2 linked regions of the Drosophila melanogaster genome follow. The protein of the gene in region 2 interacts with the protein of the main gene of each other region in a pairwise test. Each region holds a gene or a part of one and is shown on either strand. Other genes may lie near its edges. The genes, in order: CG16815 and CG7786.

Region 1 (12,457 bases), on a different chromosome or scaffold from region 2:
GTGAAGAATACAAATTTCAATCTTATCTATCTCATTTACATGTTGAGTTTTACAAAACGGGCTTCATGAACAATTAAAAATCCCTAAAAAGTTCAGCCAATATATTAAATACTTTATTATCAATAAAATATAAGAGGATTTTCGTTAATGGTATGCAATATATTGCAATGTATCTAATGTTGTGCAATTCTATTGTTTTAAGTTAATCTGGGCTTAAACTTTGACTGTCAGACGGTTGAATTGCTTTGTTATAAAATTCACACAAAGTTGCGTGCTTCACATGATTATTGCTATCACGAAGTCAATTTTGTATGTTCGAATTTTCTATTTAACTGATAATATCACAAATTGAACGACTTGCTATCGTCAGAGTATACTAAAGTGTCGCATTAACAATTTGTACTTTTTAAAATTGTTTGAAACAACGCTTGAAATTATAAATTTTTTATAGAAATTTAGAGATTACCTTTTAATTTTAAATGGCCGTATCAAATTAATATTAAAAACGACAAAGCCAATCTCCGCAATTTTTGCAGTATCCAAAGAAATTGTATTTTTAAAATAAGATTTTAGAATAAATGTATTAATATTCTATTTTGCTTTAACATTTATTTTGTTTAAATGCACTAAGTTTGCACTTCCCAAGAATTGTTTCTGTTGTTCTTATTTCTTAATTTTAATATAGGGTTTGATTTTTCACATATGTATAATGACACTCACGTATTTCTCGAACCGGCTTGAACTCAACTGGTGGCAATTCTATTTCCGCTGCCAAACATAAGCCGGCCATCAGAATTAGAGCAACTACGCCAAAGATACGACCCATTTCGATAGATTGTTTAATATTTAATTTGATACGTTTAGATTGAATGATGTTTTTTTTAATTGACTTCCTCGTTAGGTGAAGTTATTCCACATCCGTTGGATAGCCCAACCTGACCGATGCAAATGCGAATCAACGTCTGAGAGCTGCGATGGGTGGCGGGCTCTTATTTATGGGAAGAAAACAAAACAAATCCAATCAAATCGAAATTGCAAAGACAAACGTAAAATAAAAAAAATAAAAAAAGGCACAAACACAGATGCTCGGCATTAGCAAATAATAGGGATTTGTGGGCGGAGCGGTGGGCGGTGGGTGGTGGGTGGATAACAAAAATAGCTTGAAACTAATCGCCGTCGCAGCTGTAGAAAACAAAGCAAATGCAAAAGTCAATAGACAGTAGACAGTAGACAGTAGCGAAATACAAACGACATTATTAAATTCCCCCGTAAAGTCGTGAAGTGGAAGCCACCCAGCCATCCGATTTGACTTATCGCGACCCCAGTGCGACCCGACATACTCATCACATAACCGCCTACCAACTACCGGCAGCTGTCCCAAGTGATCCGACTCGCTTTGGATGCTTCCTCGACTTGGTGATGGAGATGGTGCTGGAGATCTTGGTCCCAGGCGGCTAATTAAAACGTACCACCTTATTAAATGTCTCGGGGACTTGGGCTTAAGATCACTGTTTCAATTTTTAGAGCTTGAAACTATTCTTCCTGTACTTCCATGCTAATGCTAATGCATTTAACTGAGGCTTTATTTAACTTACTGCAATTTTGTGGCCTAGTAAAATATACATCTGTGTATACCCTCAAAATGAAAAGGCAGAACCTTTTACTGCCTATTTCTGTTTCTACTAGTAAGTAGTAATGAAAGTATAAATCAAACAATTGGTGTCAAGCGTGGCCGTGCTAACAGCTCTAATGCTAATTCTGCTTTTTGCACCTTACGGCAATTTTTAAAGTGCTTGATTAGTGATTATTTAGTCACGTGTGTCTAGTAGGCAACGTACGTCGATTTTGTCAAAGCTTAAAAGGTTGGAAATGAGTCATACGCGTACAACAAATCTTTATACTAATTCGGAAAACCTCAGTTCTTAACAAACAAATAAGTAGGTTATTTTACGCAGGCCAATTTTCGAATACTTTTTTTTTTAGGATCGTTTTAAGATGCGCTGAGTTTACAACGATTTATCAAGTGACCTGGCACAAAAGAGATAAACGCACGTTATCAGCAGACGCAGACTGTCTACAGGAATGTGCCCTTTTGCAACCCCAAATAGACGTCATCTTATCGTCATCTTCGGCATTAAACTGCAAACCCAGAAATGGCACTCCGAGTTCCAAGAAGTGATATCTAAAAAAAGGGAAACAAACGGAAAACAAAAGATCAGTGCCACACACACCTTATCAACAGCAGGATACAAAGGGAGTTGGACAAATGAGGCCGCAAAACACTTTTCGAATAGAGGCCAATTGAACAAGAGTAGCCCAAAATCCATATATGTATATATATATATGACTTTTACAAAAGGCGGCGACATTGAAAAACACAGCAGATAATAGATTTGAAAGAGGAACAAACACGAATTGAATGAACCCAGACAATCGATGGGCGCGCATTTCGCCACCTACTGATCCGGAAAAACTCGGATTGTATTGTATCTGAAATTCAAAAGATCCCAGCTGAACGCACGCAAGAATAAACATGACCAGTAGATAGGGATGCCCAACGGGTGGGCTTACAAGTAGGTAAGTGGGATGGGTTGGGTTTTGGGTTTGGGTTTGGGTATGGGATTGGGTGGCATGTACGCGTGCGCAGGCAAATCGAGCGGGTTTATGATCTTGTTTTCGTTTTGCAAAAAGAAAATTCGTCGTCGATTTGTGTAAACAAAGTTATAAAAGTTGTGGGGGGATTACGAAGAGCGGCAGATAAGGCTTTCGCCATATAAGCTAGTGTACCAATCCACAGGACAGCATTCAATCGAGAGTCTTCGAGTAGAACACACATAGCATAACCATAGCATATCATACCATACAATGGAGCACCATCAGATCTATCGCCACAAAAAGTTCGACATGGGTCGAAAGATTGAGAAATGCGATTTGCAGCTGAAGGAAGAGCTAATCTCCCGGAGCGGCACACCCTGCACCAGTCGGAGTCCTTTCGATGCGGCAAATCAGTCCGTCAGCTTGGGTTTCAGTGATCAGGATGCTGACTTTCCTCCACTGCCAAAGCGTCGTCGTTTGGGATCCTCATCCTCAAGCGTTTCCTACCAATCCGCCAGCCCCATCATAACCGAGGCCATCCAAGACATCTTCAAGTACCACGTCAATATGGTGCGAAAATTCCCGAAGAAGGAGCGTTCACCGAAGGATCAGGAGCGCCGCAACAAGAACACAATTGCCTGCAGGATGAGTCGACGGAAGAAGAAGTTCGATGACCTGCAGATCGAACAGCAGTACAAGGAGTGCTCCGATGAGCACCTCAAGATCGCCGAACAGAGTCTGCGTGCCAGGGTCTATTTGAATCATCTGAAGCAGCTGGTCAAGCAGGAAGACCACCCGCTAGTATCCTCAAGGAGAGTTCCGGAGGAGAATACCAAGAGTAACTTTAGCATCGACTACCTGATAGGTGGTATTAAACAGGAGCATGCTTAGATACGTCCATCTCCTTTTAGGATTGTATTATATAGTTATTATATTAATGCTAAGTTGTTAAGTTTCTTCAAGAACTTTTAGTGCTAAGAAATTTAGTATATATTTAGTATAAATGCCTTAAAAGGTTAAGCAGGAACTTCTTAATAAATAAAATATGAGGATTTAATTTTTACGGCTAATTGATTTTTTATCGTGTGCTTGACTTTTAATCTTCCTTCTAAAAATGGTATAAATATTAATTTATGACATTGGCAGAAAAAGTAATCAAGCGCTAATGAAGCAATGAATATATTAAAAATATATATAAATAAATTTAATAAAATATAATAAAGCGTGGAGCCATCGAAATAAATCCCAATTAATCCCCAGGGGTAGTTCGCGTGGTGTCACAGGCAATCATCAGCCCCTGGAGCAAATCGTTATTGGTGACCCCATCGACTATTGCCTCCCCCCATGGAGAATATCAAGCCAGTCGGATAAAGTTCACTGGGTATTAACCCTGCACCCTGGTCAAACCACTGGCAATAGAGCCGTAAACCGATTGAAACCGCAGCTACGGGAATGTGGGCTTAAATAATAACTACTCCTATTCCCGTCCATCGCTCAGCTGTCATTGTCGCACTTAAAGTTAAACTAAACACTTTAGCTATTAGTAGCTACGATATTTTCAAATACATTGTAATCGAATTGGTCACGCTAAAGGCTTTCATTTGCATAACCCCTAATCCCTGTGGAAAATTTCAACGTATTAATAGGAATGGCAAGTGCTATAGTGTTTCCATTATTTTAATCCGATTAGGTTCCATAAGATGAATATATATGCTATACATGCTATTAAAACTAATTCAGAATTCAATTTCCTTGCTAACCGTTTCTTGTTTTTTTCTTTGACAAAAACGAAGCAGCCATACAACATAATAACTATAAACTTTAATAACATTATTAACGAAACAATAAATTTAGTATACTCTGTCAGGGTTTCTAATCACAGATTAGATCAATGTGCGTCACTGCCGCCGGTGGATGCAGTGGTTTCCATGTCAGATGTATCATTGGGTGGAACTCCACTGCTACTCGGTCCGTGGTCCGTCATGTCATCATCGCTCATTCCCTCCTCGGATAGAGGATCGTGGTCCGCCTCCAGAGGTGGATCCATAGCCTTGACCAATTTCACATACTTCTGGTTCTCGGCTTCCGTAAACATTTTAAACGGCACATCCTTGCCCACAATGGCCACATTTATGGTGAGATTCTCGACATCATCGGAACCCAACGATCCTCGAATGGCCTGAATGGCATGACATATCAGTTCATCCATGTCGCAGTCCTCGAAACTCTCCATATTTCGCTCCAGATATGTGCGAGCACTCTGCGAACGAGATCCAATGGCCATTGCCTTGCAGTTGAGCACATTGGCCGTGGGCATCACCTGGTAGATATGTGGTCCCTGCTCATCGTATCCAGCCACCAGCAAGCCCACACCGTAGGGACGACGATCATAGCGCTGGGTGGTGGTCTGCAGCTTGTTACCCAGATTGGAAACCAAACGGCGAACCGGAAATTCTGCGTTATAGGAGTGCCGATATGCCATGCACTCCGTCCTCATGTACTGGCACACCACGCGGGCATCTGCCGTTAGTCCTGCGATAGACATACCCACGTGGTCATCCACCGGCATGATCTTCCGCTGGAGCGTGTTCGTGTCCTTTGAGGTGCGGCACAGGGCGGCCAGCACGGCATAGTCGGTGCCCTTGAGTCCCACGGTGGCTGCTCCCTGTTTCACCGCCTCCATTGCGTACTCCACCTGGAAGAGACGACCCTGCGGACTCCAAGTGGTTGTGTCGTTGTCATACTGATTCCGGAACATGGCCAAAAGTGTGAATGAATTCAGCGAAATAACGTTAGCTTGTTAGTTGCAAATTTGTCTAGCTTGAGTTGAAAGTAATTGAAAACTGATATTAATTTCAAGGGTTTGCTTATTCATAGAATTTCTTAAAATATTTACTCGTGTAATTGTTAATTAATCAATTTGTAATGGCCAATTCTAACTAATTTCATAGAATGAGGTCACAAAGAAAGGGTTTCGATGCATACCAAGAGAAAAGCCAATTGCAATCCTAACTTTGCTTTCACTCCAGCTAACTTGCATAATGCCTAACCATGTAGAAAATCAACGGTCTATGAGGAAGTTCGGGTGATCCGATGGAAAAAACATAGGCTGATGTTCGTCACTGAGTGCACCCGCCTCATATGCAGCCAACTGCATCGGGCTGTGAGTGAAAAATAGGAGCTATGATTTAGTCGAAGTATTCATGCTGCCGGGGAAGCCCCCTGCACATAACATAATTAACTCTTTTGGCGATTGCGCAATCGCTGTGCGCGAGCAGTTAATTACTTTTAATTTTCATTGATAGTACTTGTGGCAGTCCGACTTCCTATGGCGCAAATTTCCGTCGCAACTCCAACAACCCAGTAAACCACTTTGCACTTGTACCATGCAGCCAAACATCAATTTCAGTTAATTGTTGAGTTTTTTTTTTTGTGGCTGCATTTGGTTTTTTTGTTTTTGGCTTTTTTCTTCTTTTTTTCCAACTGGCCTAACATTGAAAATTGCATTTCTGCGCTTCGAGCTGTGTGTGCTTGCAAAACTCCGTCTCACTGGCCAATTGAACTTGAAGCTTTGCTTGGACTTTGTCTATATCTCCATATCGCCACATCCGATCTCTGTCAATATCATTAGCCAACAATCCACCGCGTTGAAGGCGATGCCAAAAAGCTTGGCCCAGTCCAAAATGTGGTTCTTTGTGGCGGGTTTGAACCTTGACGAAAGCCGCCACGAAATGAGAACGCCATGAAAATTAGCTAGACAACAATTAGTTGAACTTTGCTGGGTAATGGCACTCTGGGTAAATGGTTTCTCGGAAAAATCTGTCAATGCTTCGATGACTCACTTACTCCAGTGGTCAGACAAGTCACTGGAGTAAGTGGTTTTTGAGCCCTTGATTGAGCCCTTTTTTACCAAAAGTCATATCAAATAATAGATAATCTACTTTTGATAGCAGTACTTTTAGTTTTATTGAGCTAAAAATTATACCATAAATTTTATATATTATGATCACGATTAGGTTGTAATTAAATTAGAAATGATAATTGATCTCTTAATCATTTTATATAATTTTACTATTTTTCAAGCCGGTGGGTTAACTTAAAGATGTTTAAAATCCTAATATATATAGCATTATTATACATATGTAAAAAAATGTAATGGTTGCGATCCACTGACCTCCTAACAAATTTAACAATCATTTTAGATTAAATTTCGAATTTTCCAAGTGATAACCCCCAGTTAACAAAACCGGCAATTTAAATTAAATGCATAACTTTTGATTTATTTCAAAGTCAACAATAAATATTAATAATTAAGGCTTAATAAACTAAATCACATGATTGGGCTATCCATAGTCGCTGATTATGATATGATTTTGGACGGTCAGCAGTGCTGGCCACCAAAGATGAGCATCTGCTGGGAGAGGGCCATCTGCTGGAGGAACTGTTGTTGCTGCTGCGGCAGGATGTGACCCGGTGCCGGATTTATGGCACGCTGGAACACCGCCTGTTGGAGGATGTGGCGGTAGTATAGACTGAGGCGCACCTGCTGTTCCAGCATGGCGGCATGATGACTCCGATACTGCTCGTACTGCTGACCCACTTGCTCCTCCTGTGCCTGCTTGGCCCGCCGGCTGAGTAGGCAAGCCAGCGTGTTTCTATCGCGGCGCATCTGCTCCTTGGGGCTTCGCTGACGATTGGTGTTACTGCGGCGCACCATGTTGGCACGGTACTGGCTGACCGAGGATCCTGGGCCACTGGGTTTCGCCGCCGTTGACGTCTCCTTCTCCGCCTGTTGGTTCTGCTCATTATCCAACCAAGGTCGGAAGAATCCCTGTGTCTGACGGCGCTTGAAGATCGGCTGTTCCGACTGCTGAGTTTGGTTCTCCTTGTCATGGTCCACTTCCCGTTTCCGCTTGCTGACGGCAAACTTCTTGTGGGTGTAGCTCGATGAGTTCTCCATTTTTGTATTTCGATAATATGACTCCGAATGAGTTGTGGTGATGATGTGACTCGTTGGACGATCGCTTGCTGAATGATTGGCTTCGAGATTGATATCCTGGTTATAAGCACAGTAGGTAGGCGGTACAGGTAGCCACATAGGGAAATCCCTTTGTTTTGGGTCTGTCAACAAAGGGATTAGCGCATCCATTCCGCATTAGGTAATCTCCGTCCTGGATTAAGCAGCATATTTTATGACCTGCTCTATCACAGCGCTAATTGTCGTCGCAGGATTGCCTCATTATCCTTTTTTTGGTGTGTGGATTACCTGGATTATCGGACAAATGTGGCCACCGGAACAGGAAAGTTCTGGACCGAACAACTGTTATGCAGGCGATGCATTTTTTTATTGACCTGCATGACACAATTTGTTGTGGCACCGTGTGTGGTCCCTTTGGCTCCTGGTTCCTCAGCACACTTTGTTTTAATTCCCTGGAAATTCTCGAGGGTCCTTTGCCGAACACTTTTCCTCTAGAATGACATGGCATTATATGTCCTGGTCGGTGGTTAGAAAAAAGTGTCAAGGATTTTTAAAGACTGCTGACAGATGCGATTTCAGTTTACGGAGAAGGAATTGCATTCATGGAAGTCTTGAGAGGTGAATTAAATATATTTAATCCATTTATTAGTTTAGGTAGTAAAACACGCCTTTAAAAATATTTAAAGAGTTAAATAAACTTCGTACAAACATGTATACGGCATATATCATATATATAAATGAATTAGTAAAACACTATTCGTGTAAATAATTTAGTATATTAAGATTTATTTATCTGCGCAATTTTTAATCGCGGACAACAATATGATGATTTCATTGATGATTATTTAAATATAAAGGCGGATCTTATTGTCACCGTGTTTTAATTATTTTGCAAGCACTTTGTTCGTTCGCTATGCTGATTTGTTTATAAATTAAATAATTAAATCCAACTGAAATAAATTACAATTTTATTCCGTGTTTCCCACAATATGTCACTCGTGCCGAATCGATTCAATTCTCACTGTAGTCTGGCTATGTGAATCACTAGAATTACTTCACACCTTAATTAGCATTGCAAATTGCGCTTCCAAGAAATTAATTACATAAGATGTATTTAATGTTATATAATGGCAGAAAAACCAAGTGAGGTAACTCTTATGAGCTGATGCTTCCGGTCAGTTTTGGTCTAGAACAAATCCTCATGATGTTAAACGGCGGAAAAGAAATATCAGACTTCCAAATAAGATTCAATAAATAAGACCCCGAGTTAGATTTCAATCAATCAGAAACCAACTAAAAACCAATTATTACAAAATTCTATAAAAATTACAAGTTATTTCGATAACAATTAGTGTGTTTATTGTTTAGTCAACCAGATAAATAAATTAAACTTTAAAAGTAATCACAATCACTATTCAGCTTTTCTACAATAAGTTAGGGCGCATTGAGCAGCGCCCAGTCGTTGCACCATGTCCACCCTTCAAGGATGCTGGGTGGTGGTCTGTTGGCGCGGCATCATGTGCCTTGGCTGTGTGGGAGGCAGTGGCTCCGTGGAGGCCATCGCCTGCTGCAGGAAGCGCACATAGTAGAGACTCAGGCGGATCTGCTGCTGCAGATTGGCCTCGTGCTGAATGCGACTGGTCAGGTATTGTTGTTCGATGAGCTGCTGCTGTTGCTGCTGGGAGCGTCGATGGCGCAGGCTGGCCAAGGTGTTGCGATCCCGACGCAGTTGCTCCTGTGGACTGCGCTGGCGGCGCTTGTGGTGATTGCGCACCATGTTAGCGTGGTAGGTGCCATCCACTTGTTGTGGCGGCGGTGTCGATGTAGCCACAATCTTACGTGGCGGCTGTGGTTGCTCCTCTTCCGGAGACTCATCCATCCAGGGTCGGAAGAAGCGACGCTTAGGCTGCGGCTGCTCTGGAGTGCGTTGGCCCGGCTGTTCCATAATGAAGACCACATCGTCATCAGAGTCCGCATCCATGCTGCGCTTTCGCTTCAGAGCTCCAGTGAATTTCTTGTGGTTATAGTTATCCATTCTTGATTAAGAGTAGTGGTGTTCGCTTTGCTGTCTTCGAGACGACTGTGCTGCCCCTCCTCCTGGCCATCCGTTTTATGCAACATTAGGTAACTTGCAGAGCCTCCCACGAAAACGGAATGGCCAAATGGCAAAGATTTTCCCATCACGTACCTGGGGATCACGGTAAAACGGATCAGGTATTTCCCCAACGCATTTCATTCATTCCCTAAAAATGGGACCAAAACTAATCGGCTGCTGTTACCTGAATTGGGAATAGGGAGTTCCTAATCCGCAGGCTGGCAATCTTCTCAAAGGGTGTCATAAACCAGTTGTTGTCCTTGCCTCGTCTGTTTACGTGGCCGACGATTTTCGACGAAATTACCTGTTGTCGGGCCCGAAAAAGGGATCTCTGTGTAGAGGATCCCTGTGTAATCTCTAATCCTGGCGCTCAATTCGTCCAGGCTGTCTGCCGGCCGACCCGCTATTGTTTCGGCTTTCTTTGTGGCACCTGAATAGCAGACATGCTGCAGTTTTCAATGCCCGATCTCGATTCGAACAACAAGCGTTTATGACTTTCAGCTTGGACAGCTGAAGAAAAACCGTCTCGGAGTTTCTGAATCTCCCGGTACATGTACATACTAGCAAACCTAGAAAACCGGCAATTACTGAATGCTCCTCCCTCTGCTCCCTGGTTTCGTGTCTTTGGCATTATGTCGGATTTTTCCGTTTCATTCAATGGTCCATTGTCCATTGATTTATGCCGTCAGGGAACGAATGTATATGTGGTAGATGGTTCTCACATTTCAGTGTTCCTCCGCCTAAGCGGATTTATTTCAGGTGGGCTTGAGACGAGCCCTCCTCGAGGAATCCCAAAGTCAATAAGCAGGAGCGGAGTGGGAGTTGGTTATTTGTTCAGTTGAAGTATTACAGTGAAAGATTGTCGTATTGTTTGATTGTTTTCCTTTTATTATATTGATCAATTTTCATCTGTTCTGGAACGCAGAGAATCGATTGCATTGGGTCCTCCAGGGTAGGTGTTGTTCATTCCTTCAAGGGGAATGACCTTAAAAAGAGCAATAATATCCTACCAGGAAGTGCTTTCACCAATGATACAATTAAAGGTTGTCTTATATAATGTTGTATTAACAGGATGGTGGATGGGAAAATAGATTCCCATATATTTTTCTAAGGAGTAGATCTTTTCAGCGATGGGAAATTTTAGCCTTGAAAAGTTTGCTTTTTTCTGAGAAACAAGAAGGAATTATGTAGATGAAAATAAATAGGTAAAAATGTCTATTTAAAATATTATGATCCAGAATCGAGAATATATAACTTTGTATGATAGCAACGATTGTATCAACTTGCGTCCAGGATAACCTTGTATAAATATACCAAGGATTATTCACTTTGAATGGTTTAGAATATTAAATTAAGTCCAAAGATTACTTTTAAGAATTCACTTAAAAAGGGAATAGAAAAGTTAAGGATATATGTATATATTTTTAAATTCGTATAGTTGTAAAATAGTAAAAGCAGTAGTAAACGTATTTACAATAATGAAAATTCGAACTGCATTTAAATGTATTAAAAATTTTAAACAATAAATAAACTGCTTTAAGAAAAACCTATATGTGTGTGTGTTTACATATTTATGTACTTGTATATCATAAAACATTATCTTTACTAATGATATTTAAAGTCGGTTATAACCCTTATAGTATAATGCAGTATAGCAATATTCTATTGTTTATATCACAAGATTTTCACTTTGAAGGTTTAGTTTTGAAAAAGTATAAAATGAAAACCTTATAGTCTGATTTCATATAGCAATATTTTAATTTCTACATTACCAATCTTTCATGATCGCAAACCAACAAAAAATAATGTTTAATTAATGTATAATAATCATATAGTGAGTGACATATTATAAACAAAATTTCTTGCTTTTCCATAAATTATGACTCTACTATTATACAAAAAAGAAAAGAATCCAAGAAATCCCGTGAACAGACTAGGCCAGACGCGCACCCATCGATTCGGGAAAATCCCAATAAATTTCCATTCAATGACCATTGTGACTAAGCAGCGGCTGGCATTTTGCCGAAGGTACATAAAGGTATACCCGGATACCCTGGACGAGAACTTAATGAGGCAGATTAGCGGTAAGCGAGATAAGAATCCAGATTCCGAAGCGTCCAGACAACGTGGCCCAGCATCAAAGAGTGGCAAGCGCAGGCGCTGGCCAGATTTCGAGGTAGAAAACGCTTCTCGAGAAAGTCGGCAGGGAAATTTCCAAGAAAACCCGGACGGACTAGGCAGACACAATAGAAGGTGCGAGCAGCGCGCTGCAGCAAATGAAAAATTAATTACAAAGGACTTTCAGATGAGCAGGTAGTAGTAGTCGGCCAGCAATGGTCACAGGTACTCGTAGTGTATGGATGTATGCCGAAATCCTTTTATTCTCCCTACGACAATGCCAACCTTTTGTCAACGAAGAGTTTCCCATAAACAGGGCGCATGTTCGCTCTTAATGATAGTGTTTTCAGGTAGGACCTCTGATCTCGTTGGTATAAAAACCTGGTTGCGCAGCAGCAGGAGCATAGTCGAGCCTTAACAGCCGTCGTGAAAACAACTCAACAAACAACACAACTTAAAACCCCAATCATGGCACCTTCGAACATGGATTACCACAACGAGTCGGAAGTTGGCGAGAGCTACACCCACAAGAAGTTCAAAACCGCCGGCTATACGCACAAAAAGTTTGGCAAGAAGAGCTCCAAGGATATCGCCCCCAACCCAGCCAATGCCACGCCCCTATTCCGGCCATATGCCCTCAGCGAAAATACACCACGAAAGCGTCGCCAGGA
Region 2 (12,460 bases):
TCTTTGTTGTTGCTATGTACAAGGATTTGGTTGCCAGGGAAACAGGAAAAAATGTCACAACTGAGCTGCATTACGATTGATTAAATTTACGTGGCATACGGCATTTACTTCTATTAATTCGCAGCTTAATTAAGCACTTTAAACAGCATTTATTCCTTCTAAAATGTCAAAAAATGCGGGGCGAACCAGCAGCAAAAACGTAAGCCCAAAGAAAGGCACTTGAAACGAAGAATATATACATATATATCAAAAGCACAAATATATAGTACACCTTTCCATTGATTGGCAGCCAACAGCGATTTCACTTATTTGCACAGCAAATTTGCATTTCACTCGCTCACAAAAACCAAACCAACGAACTTTTTAACATTTACACCTGTCGCACAGTTAGATTAGCAGCTTAGTTTTCGAGTTAATGGCAATTAAAGCCTTATTGCCCAATAGCACACACATTAGCATTTTAATAGCGCAGCACATATGGAATAGCATTCAATTAAAACTAATAAACGAACCGATCGCCACACAAAAAAAAAAACAATATGTTAAGATTGGGTCAGTGTTGTAAAATGCTAAGAAATAGTGCTGAGCACCCCGACAAGACGTTATGATTTCAAAAATCTTTTCGAATTGCAGGTCAAAACGGAAGTGCCAAGGAAGGTCACTAAATCACCAGCAACAAGTGGACCGGCCACCACAAGGGAATCGAAGGAGCGGAGGTCACTGGCCAAACAACCGGATAGCTTGGAAGGTGAAAAAATTGCGAGGAAAACCACAACAGCAGCGCAACCTACGACCGCCAGCAAAAAGCCATTAGCCACGGGGAAAAACAAGGAAAGGGAGTCCTTGAGCAAGAGGACCACTCCGTCCCCAGGTGCATTGCGTGCCACCACCAGACACACAACCACGACCACAAACCCACCCCTGCAGTCCAAGACCACCAAGACCACGAAGCTCGTGGCCAAATCGAAGCCCAATGCAGTTCTGGACACGTATCACAGTGTTACGGTCGCCTCGCCACCGCAAAAGCGCAGAGGACAGGCGGAGCAGGAGAAGGAATCGCCCACGCCTTCATCAAAAGAATATTCCCCTGTTGCACAGACTCAAAAGGAGCACAAGCCACAGTCTCCTTCCAAGGGAGATGCTCGTATTGTTCCGGCAAGATCCAGAACTTATACACGCACCTTGGATCCCGAGGAAGTGGTTATCCTTAAGCGTGAATCCGCCAAGCAAAGAAGCGAAGTGGAGGCCAAGGAATCAGAGCCTGTGAAACAGCCAGTGGCCTTTGAAGTCAAATTCGATGAAGCCAAAAAGCCAGAACCGGAATCCGATCACTACTCCGATGACTTCGAATCCTATGAATCGGATTTCGAAACCGATGCCAGCACGCCCGACGAGGTGGAATCCGATGAAGCGCAGGAGCCCTCATCCTCCGAGGCGGAAGTGGAGGAGGAGCGGGAGGAAGAGGATTCGGAGCCCACCCAAAATCCCATCACTGTGATCCAACGCGACAAGGATCAAGAGCGGAAATTGGACTCCGGTCATTATGACATGCATTTGCGCAGGAATCCCTTGAGCAGTCTGTCCACGCAGAATCAGTATGATAGCTTTGATACCAACTCGATGGCCAACTCAGAGCAACTGGACTCGGGCATTAGCACCACTGGCGTGGAGAAGCCCCGGAGTGGAGAGGCTAACGTGTACTATGGTGGCTACTCGGGATTCGTTTCCCATCCCGTGATCAGTCGTCGCGGCGAAGAGCTAATGGCCAAATTGCGTTTCGATCAACTGAACTACCACCTGTTCGAGATGAAGCCCCTCAGCTACGAGGGATTCATGCAGAGCTATGGGAAGCTGAATGCCAGTCAAGTGGCCACACAGACGCAGTCACCACACATGGACGGCGAGTGCCAGACGCTGGAGGTGCACAGTCGTAGCAGCTGGACCCAACATCCACCCCACTATGGTGGGCAATTCGTTCTCAGCTGCAGTGTCGATGCGGAGTTGGATGAAACATGGAGCAAGCAACCTGCAGATGAATACGAAGCTAGCATTTCTCGATTGGAGCAACTGCATCGCCTGGAGCAGGCACGCTCCCAGCAACTGCAGCAAAAGAGATTGGCCAAGAGCACGGATCTGGAGCGACTGAATTCGTTTCTTCACAGGGCCGGCAGACTTATGGGACTGGTTTTGGAGGGCAAAACCACGGCCCACGGCCAGGGGAATAGTCCTCGAAATGTACCACTTCAGACGGGACTGCTGAACGCACTGCCTGTGCGTCGAATCTTTGGAAGTGCCGGAAATGGACAACTGGTGGTCACCGTGCACGAGTGTCCTGCGGACAGCAATGTATATAAGGAGGACTTTGCCAGCCTTCTGATGGTGTGGTCACTGGCCAATCCCAGCCAGCCGTTGCGCCTGCTCTCCACCTGGGCGGAAGTCAGCCGTGTGGCACTATCTGCGCAGGCCCAGGATATCGTGGTGGCCGGACTGAGAGATGGTAGTGTGGCTATGTGGGATTTGCGCGAGACGCACAGCTACTGCTCCAAGTTGGATGGCCACCTAACCCATTTTGCAGCCACACAATCGGTGGTTCCCATGCCGGAGCAACAGGACAAGGAGGTAAATGCCATGGATCTGGGCGCTGTGGTGGATGTGCGCAGCTTTAGATCACACTTGAATGCTGGAGGAGTAGCTGCGACTAGTGGTTTGCAGACGACGTACAAGGAAGTTCAGGTAGGTTTTATTGTAGTATTCATTTATAAATTCTATGTAAAGATCTATATGAATACATATAATTAATTATATATGCAATCCTTTGACAGTACGCCTCGCTGAATGACTCCGGCCTGCTGACCATGTGGACCCTGGTGGAGGGCGCCTCGTCCACCAACAGCAACGAGTTCAGTTCGCCGTGGGCGCGTGTGAAGCTACTGCAGAGTGGCAGCTGTGATCTGAGGAGCTATCTGGAGCGACGCCTCCTGAAGAGCCATCAGAGTGCGTACGAGAAGACCAAGTCCCTGTTCCAGGGCAACATCTACAGCGATGATGTGCTGCGTGAGCTGAATGACACGCAAACGCTGACCACGGCACTCCAGGGACAGGGATTGCAGGGCCTGCGCTTCACCAGCATCGATACGGGCAGTGAGCTCATCTATGTGTGCACCAACCGAAACTTTGTGCTCTGCTGCACGCGTAGTTTGAAGACGGAACGCTTCGCGAGGATCGCCGTGAACGAAAGTCGTTTCCTGTTTCCCACCTCGTTGTGTGTGCTCTCCAATGAGAACTATGTGGCCGTGGGTCTGTCCAATGGATCTGTGATGATACTCAACTGCAATCAGCGACAGAGGCAGCGCCAGAGGAATCAGCAGAGACCCAAAACAGGACTTCCGCCGGCCACGGATGAGCCCGATCCCGAGACGGGCAAATCGTGTGCCATTCAAAACATCATACTCAACGAGCGTAGATCATTTGACCAGCAGATGGATGACAATCCCACGTACGATGCCCGACCCAACACAGCTCTGGAGCTGATTGAGCGACCCAGGCGTTCCTACGAAATGAGGGTCTTTGACCAGCAGCTGCTCCTAAGTGGCAGCGGTCTGCGCCAGCATCTCGTCCAGGCCCTGATCCTCTCCAGCGACGGCTGGCAGCTTTCCGCCCTCACCAATGGCACTGTGCGTCACTACGATTTCTATCGCGACAGAGAGTTACCCGTGGAGGAGCTCATGGACACACGCCTCAAGGTGACGGACATTGCCGGTGCTCGAAGTTGTGGACAGGAACAGGTTCTGCTCATCCTGGACTCGACTGGAAAGGTGCAGTCGCGCACTCTGGACTACTAGCTTGTTAAATATTTTCTAATTATTTGTATGCGTTTGTTGAAATCATTTTTTAAAATGAAATAAACTCGAACTAGTCCTACTCACTTTTAATCAATTTTAATGGTTTCTATTGCACAATTTGTGATATATAAATGATATATATATGACTTTATAGAACTATAGTACTAGCACTAGCAAAATACTCTATATAGATGGGCCAATATTTATATATCTGAATAACATATTTTTTTAAGGGACACCTGCATATGCATACATATATTATTAGAATATCCTTAGTATTTATTTTAAACATTTATTAACATCAAACTAAATAATCTCACTAGCTTCCCTCATTGATATGTACACTTTTCCATCTGATCCCGCAGAGTGGTTCACACCTGCCTGGCCATGGACAACATGCCGCCGGCTGTTGTGGCTCCGAGGAGCTGGCGCACCGTTTGCAGTTCATCCCGCAGCGCCAGGACCTGCGCCCGCAGAATGGAGTTCTCCTGCTCCAGCAGCGCTGCTCGGAATGCTATCCTATCCTCGCGGATTTTCCGCGCATCTCTGGACCTCTTGGCCGCCTCGTTGTTTCGCTTGCGCCGCTCAAAGTACTTGGCATCCTTTTGAGCCTCCGGAATGGGTCGCTTTTCACCGCGGACGCGACGGTGCACAAAACCCGGAAACATACCGCCTCCAATTACGCCCACACGATTGAGCTCCATCAGCGGAAATTCCAGTGCCTGGAGAGCGTGACTTGGTGGTGCGATATACTCGAAGGCGGGTAGAGTTTCCGACGATCTCTTGGCACCGATCATGCCGGGAAAGCCCAGACCGGTTAGCCGAAGATTCTGGGGAATGGAAATGGAGTAGGACGGATTGTTCTTGGACTCCAGTTCCGCATCCAGTTCGGAGTGCATCGATACGGTCTCGGTGACATCCAAAATGGGCGACTGGGCGGGCGAGTGCATCCTATATCGGTGACTTCCGTTCGCGCCGACGGCCGGGCTATATCTGAATCCAGCTCCTGGCTAAGAAGCTAGCTACTGGCGAGGCGACCACCTGCCTGCCGTGGTAATTATAGGTTCTTGTCACACAAACTCCCCCACGTACACACACACACACACACATACACCCGCTTTGGGGCTAATTCTAAGCCAGCCACAACCCTCCATCGCCGGCTGATTCAACCAATCACGCAATGTTGACGGTAATTATTCGTCAAATACATGACACTTGGCCGGGGCCGCATGGCATTTATTTGTGCTGCCCGGTTACAAGGACTTCATATAACTGGTTAGCCAGATTACATGCCCCCAGCCCAGTCCAGTCCACCTCTCCCCGCTCGCCGATCACTTCTTGGCCCTTGGAGTTGACCAACTGTTATGTGTTGGGGCGGAGATAGTAAGGCTTACCCATTGTCCATGCGCTGACCAATGAGAGTGACCCTTGGCTATCGACCGGCATTTTGTGGACGAATATAACAGCGATAACAGCGGTAATAGTCTGAAAGAGGCGTGGTGGAAGCCTACTTGCACTCACTGAAAGTTATCCTTTAGGATATCTTACTATATAGCAAAACATGGGGTAATGTAAAATGTAAATCATGAATATGCAATTTTTAGTCATTACATTAAAATGAAGCCATCTTATTTGAACCATTATACAATAGATATACTTTTTTTGATCCTTAAACTGATAGTTCTTGTAGATTCCTATCACTCCAAATCATTTTATCAGATATTCTAGGCATAATATATCTTCAATTGCTCTATGTGAACTTTTTATTTCCGAGGTTTTTTGAGACTTAAAGGATTTTTCCAGCGTGTACCAATCGATTTCAATAGTCCTAAGAGGAATAGCTTCTGCTCCTTTTTAGCTGAGCTCCAAAAACTGCAGCGTCAGAAAGTTGCAATATGCCTAATCCGCTATTATTAAGACATCAAAAAGTTGTTACCAACTTTATTTTGATCAAGCATGATTCTTCAAAATCGTAAAATTTTACTTGCCTTCCGACAATGCCACTCACGACATCCAAGACCACCGTATGCATATCCAACAACCATCGACATGTAAATGAACTCCGTGTGTCGTCTTTAACCCGTTCCGTTTCGTTTCGGTTTGAGAAAGTGTCACCTGTTTGTTTGCCGGGGTGGTAAATTGGCAGTTTGGGTCACGGAGTCCTTGCCGTCTCCGGCAACCGGAAGTCGCATCCTTATGGCGTTTCATAATGTATGCGCTAATTTATTATCTGTTGGCAAAAGTTTGGGCCATACATAGTTAACCCTTTGACTGTCATGCCACCGATGTTTCGTTTATGGTGTTTTGGCCCAACTGAGAGCCGAACCCGGAAATAATGGATTGCGTGCCGGAGTGACATGTCTGGAGAATTGGAGGCAGTCTAATATCCATCAAAGGGTCGAGCGAGATGGATTCGAAATGCACACATATAGAAAGCAGTACGTTTTGGAATCGGTTTGAATTGGTTGGCATTACCAAACCACCAAACTTCTACTCTACGGACTGAGTTCGATTTTTTTTTACCCACCCCGGGGACCCATTGCTAATGCATTGGGAGGATCGTTTTGGACATAGGCTATTAATGCGTTAGACAAATTACCGGGTAATCTAGACAGTAGAACACGTTATTGCTTCGTTGTTTGTTTGGTCAGTAATTGAAGAGCAAACCTCGTGGACTTCGCGGTGGACAAACCGTTAATGACACCTTTAATTGGATGACATTAGCACCCGGGGGTCTGGGGCATGACCAAGTGGGCCCTGCCCCCATCCTACAGTCAAAGCATAGGCTTCGCTTAGCCTGTCTCTCGGAATAGTATTCATCTAACAAGTATTCATCGAACAAGGAAATCGTATTTTTATAAGCAACGAAATGTGTGACGAAGGATCGATCAGGGAATGTGAGCCCACCACCTTGCGGCTTCCTTTCAACAGCTACCACATCAATTTGCCGCTATATATTTTGGACATGGTGCGCATCTTCCAGGATCATCCCAAGTACAGCAATGGTATCCACGAGGAGCACATTCTGGAGATGCTGGAAAAGGAGTAAGACAGATCGAGTAATATACTTAATGGTAATGGTAATGCTAATCATCTAAATAGACCCTTTGCCTGTGGCGATCTGGAGTCGCAGGTGAAGACCGCTCTGCTGGACCTAACGGCCAAGGGATTCATACGCTTCATTACCAATGGATACCGCACCCTGGGACCCATTGCCAAACTCTCCAATGCCCGTTCCGCGCGCCACTTCAACATGACATGGCAGCGCATTGCCGAGCTGCAGAAGGTCAACTGTCCGAGCCTGGAGGCGGGATCCATCTCCAGCGGACCCTGCATCCAGCGCGGAGCCAACTACTAAATGATTTCACTTTTTGTTGTGTTAACCATTTCGTTTATTGAGTTCATTTCCTTGCAGATCAGCAGAGTAACGCGCCACACACACTCTCCACACTTCTTCCAAATTGTAATCGTCTAGTAAAATTCCTACAAATCCAAGTTTCGGGGTAGTTAGTTGAGTACGGGTGGTCATAATCATCATTATGTTGGGAACACATGTCGCGGGGTCTGCCATCCTTTTGACACTTAACCAGGCTAATTATTCTCAGGGGTTGGAATGTCGCAGGTGTTTATAGGGGAAATGCTTCCGAAACTGATTTAAGTATTACCATTGTGAATAGGCCAACTATCCCTGTTTGTGATCTGGAGTACATCCCCGACGAACTGTGCCCCAATGTGACCCTTGGCCAGGCCCATTACCCTTTTGGCCGAACCGTTTAGATTGTCAACACCAGGACAGCGGAGGACACAAGGAGGACCTGTCGTCATCGCAGTCCGAATATGTGCCCGCGAACCAAACACGCATGGGATCCCGGCCAGGTGGTATTTATTGCCTCTCTAATCGTTGCGGCATAATCTATTAGCACCCCACCCGACAGACAGATCCGCGCTTCCACGTCCAAAACGGTGTCCCTTGATTTTTTGCTTTTGCACATTAAAGGCAATTATTTTTATTGTTTTAGTTTCGAGACAGTTTTGTGTTTGTCATTTGCCAATGGCTGTTCCGCGCTCATAATTGAACCAGCCCCAAGATAGGACATTAATCAAGCCACATGACATCTGGATAACATGTTCGAACATAGTCAGTTTATTGGGATCGCTCCGAAGTAGTGATAATTCAAAAACAAAAAGAGTCCTTCGAAAGAAATGTAAGCATTGTCATGATAATGTAAGTGGTTAAATTGTAACATGGTCAGAAATGAAAAGCTTACAAATAGCTTAGGAACTATTGTTATGTAAACTATGTCTACTTTAAATTTGATTAACATTATTCCGACGACTTATCCCGACTTATTGGCTAACCTGAGCGTAGTTGCGTTGCAATAGCTGTTCAGGTATATATTTCCAATCGTCCAGGAAGCGAATTAGGAAGCCATCCGGTAGGCGCTGTACCAGATGTACATTCATCTCCGTGTTTAGCAGCTTACTCTTGAGATACTCGATGCATTCGATTGTCTTTTGGTGTGTCAGATTTTTTGACCTTACAATTCCCTCAATGTGAAAACTAAAGACGCGGTGGGGCTTAAAGCTGTCCACGTTTTCACATGGAGCCAAGCAGCTTAGGGGCACGAACTCCGTGTTGCCGTAATCCACATAGAAGATCATGTACTCACTGGGGAATTCATCGATTATCTGGGCGCGATAGAAGCAACCATCACTGTAGAGAGCAAGTACAATGTCAAGAAGACGCGGTTTCGACTTGAAGGTCCGTTTGTTCTCTGGCACATCCTTTTTGTCCCACACCAACGGCGGAGATCCGTCCAAAAACTGGCCATAAACCTCGGTGGGGCCATTAATAAAGGTGATCAGGATGCCGACAATGCTGCCGATTTCAAAATGCACTGTTGTATCAAAGATTGTCTCAGGAAGAGCTCTAGCTAGCTCCACATCTTTGGTGGCGCCATTCGGAGCAAAGGGCTCATGAGCAAAACGACAATTGTTACCTTACAAATAAGCCACGTATTAAAACCTTTACTTTGTAAACCAATTTTTCAATTAATTTTCTGTAACTTACCCTTAAAACAGCCATTCAGCTTGGGATCGTAGTGCCGGCAAATGCGTTGCTCGTCCTTGGGACGAAAGCCAAGAACTGCTTTCAGAGGATCACTGGTGCTCTCATCGATTTCATTCAGCATGGCCATGTCATCCTCGGTTATTCCAGCTGGATATTTAGTGGTGTTCGTTTTTGTAGGTCTGCTTAACCTATCAATGACCGGTTCGGCCACTAGTGTAGAATTATTGTTTTCGTGCACTCGAATCTTAATATACGTATTAACAAAGCAATGCATATTGGCGATATCACAGTTGATTAAATCGCATCTAATGGCCTGTGCCGGCAACCGTTTGATGTCGTCCGGTAGTTTAAATATTGTTTCGTTGCCGTCAAAATGAATATGCTCGCCAAAGTCGATAAGATACGCATCATATCCTCCGCCCGCAGAACTTGAGTTGATGGTGATCCGAGTAATGATGTTGTTAATACTGTCGAGAACTGCAAAAATGTCGCCGTAGTCGGGCAACTGGTCCAACTCCTGCAATGGCAGTTGTCGCTGGAGCACCTTCTTAATCCTATCAGAACTTTCATCCCATTTAGCCACATAGGCGCAATTATCCGTTACGTCCACGCTCGCTAAAACGGCAGTAACTATAGTATTCTCTGGAAATGCAGCCATGTCCTTTAAGATTTGATTGTAGATATCACGTCTGGTCGTCTCAGTGCCTCCCTTGGGAGGCAATAGGAATCGGTTTCTGGGACTTTTTGGGAGCTTGTTAACCTTTTCGATCGATGCAGCAGTTACCTCAGTAGGATTCTCAAGCTGCCAGTTGTTGGGCATGTTGATGGTGCTCTTGGAGATCTTGTTGCAGATACCTGTGCCAATTGTTTGAGTTCCCTGTTTTGCAGCCAGAAGGGACTGATTGTCAGAAGTTGCTGGAGCGGAAGCTTCGGAACGTACTGGATTGTTGGCCTTTTCAGTTTCCACGACAATCTTGGAGCCCACTGGGATCTCTTCTAGAGATCCCTCAAGCTGTTCGTGGAAAGGATTCGAGGGCATAGTCTCCTCCATGTTCTTGGAAACTGCTAAAGGCTGCGGAGTAGCGTCTCTCTCTTCTGAGAGGTTTTCATTGACCACTGATATTGCGTCGAGCTGGTTTGTCGAAGAGGCTTCCTGCACAGCCACGACGGGCACTTCCTCCGAAGTGGAGGAGGGCAGACATTCCACGAAGGCCGGCTTCGAGGACTGACATATAGCTTCAGCACAACCCGGTTTTTCGATCGCTTGTAAACCTGAGCGAATCGACGAATATGGATTGTCGATGGATTTCTCGTAATATTCGTAGTCTCCCAATCTGACAGACTGGCGGTTGATGTGTAGTTGCACATTCAGTTTCATTACGTGTGCATTAACTTCGCTCAGACTGGCCACCAAGTGATCGTGCAGCGGAATGAGACTCCTGTACAGCAGATCTGCATGCGACAATTTTTCTGTGAGCTCCTTGTGAATTTGATGCATTTCGGTTTGATAGGAACGTAGATTCCCCTGTAGCTTGTGCATGTTGCTATCGAACAGCTTCATAATCATCGAAATGTCCTCCAGATTCATTTTAAACAAACAATTTAATACGAAAACAGTTTAAAGAAAATATTCGGCGCAAAAGCAAGAGGAAGAGAAGGCAAGGCAAGCGTTGCCCGATGTTGCGGCGTTGAAAGCTTCGATTAACAAAATGCGCGGTCGATAACGATGCATCTTGTTATGGTTGGTGTCTTGGCTAATTGGTTTGAATTTGGCGGCTGTTCAATAATTTCATCGACTTTTTAGATGTTCCCAATAGAAAAGTTTGGCTTTTTAGTTTAATTTTATATAAAAACCACTCATACTAAGAAGTAGATATTATCGAACAACTTGTTTTTTATTAAAAAAAAAAAACATAGCCAGATGTATACACAACCAATTTAATAAGTACTACGCCCACTCAAAGTCCTTTCACAGGTTTTCAGTTGGACACTTGAGCGGGGCCGTGACCGACTTGCTGCAGGACACAAACTCCTTGCTGGGCTGCACACAGCTTTTCTCGCGATTGTAGATGCCCAGAAAGGCGCGGCAATTGGCGCAGTACAGGTACTCATTGTTGTCCGCGGACATGAGGCAGGGCAGGAAGCACAGAGGCCAGCAGGAGACCACCCAGGCGGCACAGCAGCCGTTGTTCGAGATCTCAGTGGCAGCCTTGATAAGCGGCCGCCTGCTGGTCGCGCAGCACGGACAAAAGATGCGCCCCTCCGCCGGTGCCCAGCGTTCGATGGAGGCGCGATAGCATTTCCTCCGATGCGACGTCGAGTTCTCCAATGGACGTGAACATGGACATGGGGAGCTGGGCTTCTCGGTTTTGTAGGAGGCGGCTTCACTGACGGCAGCAGGGTCACCGGCGACAGATCCACCACTGCGACCATAATTCTTCTTTTTGGCCATATCTATCGATTGAAATTTTACGAGGAGACAATCATAGAAACTCGCCCAAAACTCTCACATTTCTCTGCCTTTTCGGCCATCTGGGACTCGGACAGACCCGTCATCTTGCTAATCTTCGAGAGCCGCTCCTCACTGATGCCGTGATCCGCGGCCAGCTTGTGCAGATTCTTGATTTTATCCGTGGTCACTGCGTATATCTCCGGATGATCCTGTTGGATGTGTCGCACCAGTTCACTGGTGTCGTAGCGGGAGCAACGGATCACCTTCATGCAGTGCAAACAGCGCAGTGATTGCGTATCACTTGGTTTCGGATTTGTCTGGGACATGGCCCCATTCGCTATATAACTCTAGAGATACTTTTACAAAAGTGAAATACTTTAGACGACGAATGGGTTTTGTTACTGTTATCATTATTTTTTGATGCCACAATCCTTGAAGGGAAACTGCTCACTCACTCGTTTTCCATAAACTTAAAACCAACATAAGCATTGGCGCACACACGCATTAGGATTTATTTTATGCAGATGTGTGAATTGAAAAAAAAAACCCTCGGCATCAATCAGCTTAAGCCAAGTATGTACATATATGGTATATGGGTTCTCCCGCCTTCAATAAAGACCAACAGAGAATAGCAGGTATACTCAGTGCTATTGTGAAATGGAATACTTGAAGTGGGGCAACTTGAGCCACCCATCCGTGGACTTGTCGACTTAATCCATTCGCCTTCGAGCACCCTGTATCCATAATGCTCCTTGGCTGCGTCAACATTTTATTGTCAGTCATTTTTCGACACCCCCCGCCGACCCCTTCATCTTAACAATCGGTTCCGTTCACGTGCCACGCCTCCTTATCCCAACGCCCAAATGATTTTCATCAGGGGCCAAACTTCGCCTACACTTATTTCGCTTTTTTTTTTTTTAAAGACTTTGAGTGTGTTTTTCAACATTTTGTCAAAATTGATTTTTTACTGCACTTACGGCATGATGCGACCGTTTTGGGGTTCCACGTGGCTACACAGGACTCCACATGCCGCCGTGTGCCCCAATACACAGTGGAAAGCTTAAAAAGCGGGGGAACTAAATATTTTAATATATA

Evidence for each region.
Region 1: the proteins of CG7786 (region 2) and CG16815 come close enough for resonance energy transfer, tested with the Drosophila melanogaster proteins (one study listed by BioGRID).

The regions. Positions count from the first base shown.
Region 1 is NT_033779.5:13,225,004-13,237,460, reverse strand, and holds CG16815 (uncharacterized protein), read right to left. Parts: upstream 7,630-12,457; 5' UTR 7,556-7,629; coding exon 6,977-7,555; 3' UTR 6,912-6,976; downstream 1-6,911. Other genes in the region: Jhbp14 (juvenile hormone binding protein 14), read right to left, coding at 721-826; Mabi (mabiki), read left to right, coding at 2,866-3,486; Prosalpha6T (proteasome alpha6 subunit, Testis-specific), read right to left, coding at 4,484-5,353; CG16813 (uncharacterized protein), read right to left, coding at 9,054-9,608; CG15480 (uncharacterized protein), read left to right, coding at 12,255-12,457.
Region 2 is NT_033778.4:16,230,145-16,242,604, forward strand, and holds CG7786 (uncharacterized protein), read right to left. Parts: upstream 4,793-12,460; coding exon 4,214-4,792; downstream 1-4,213. Other genes in the region: CG15701 (uncharacterized protein), read left to right, coding at 164-199, 634-2,733, 2,823-3,842; CG3687 (uncharacterized protein), read left to right, coding at 6,712-6,887, 6,945-7,200; krimp (krimper), read right to left, coding at 8,190-8,842, 8,914-10,501; CG15708 (uncharacterized protein), read right to left, coding at 10,883-11,367, 11,424-11,691.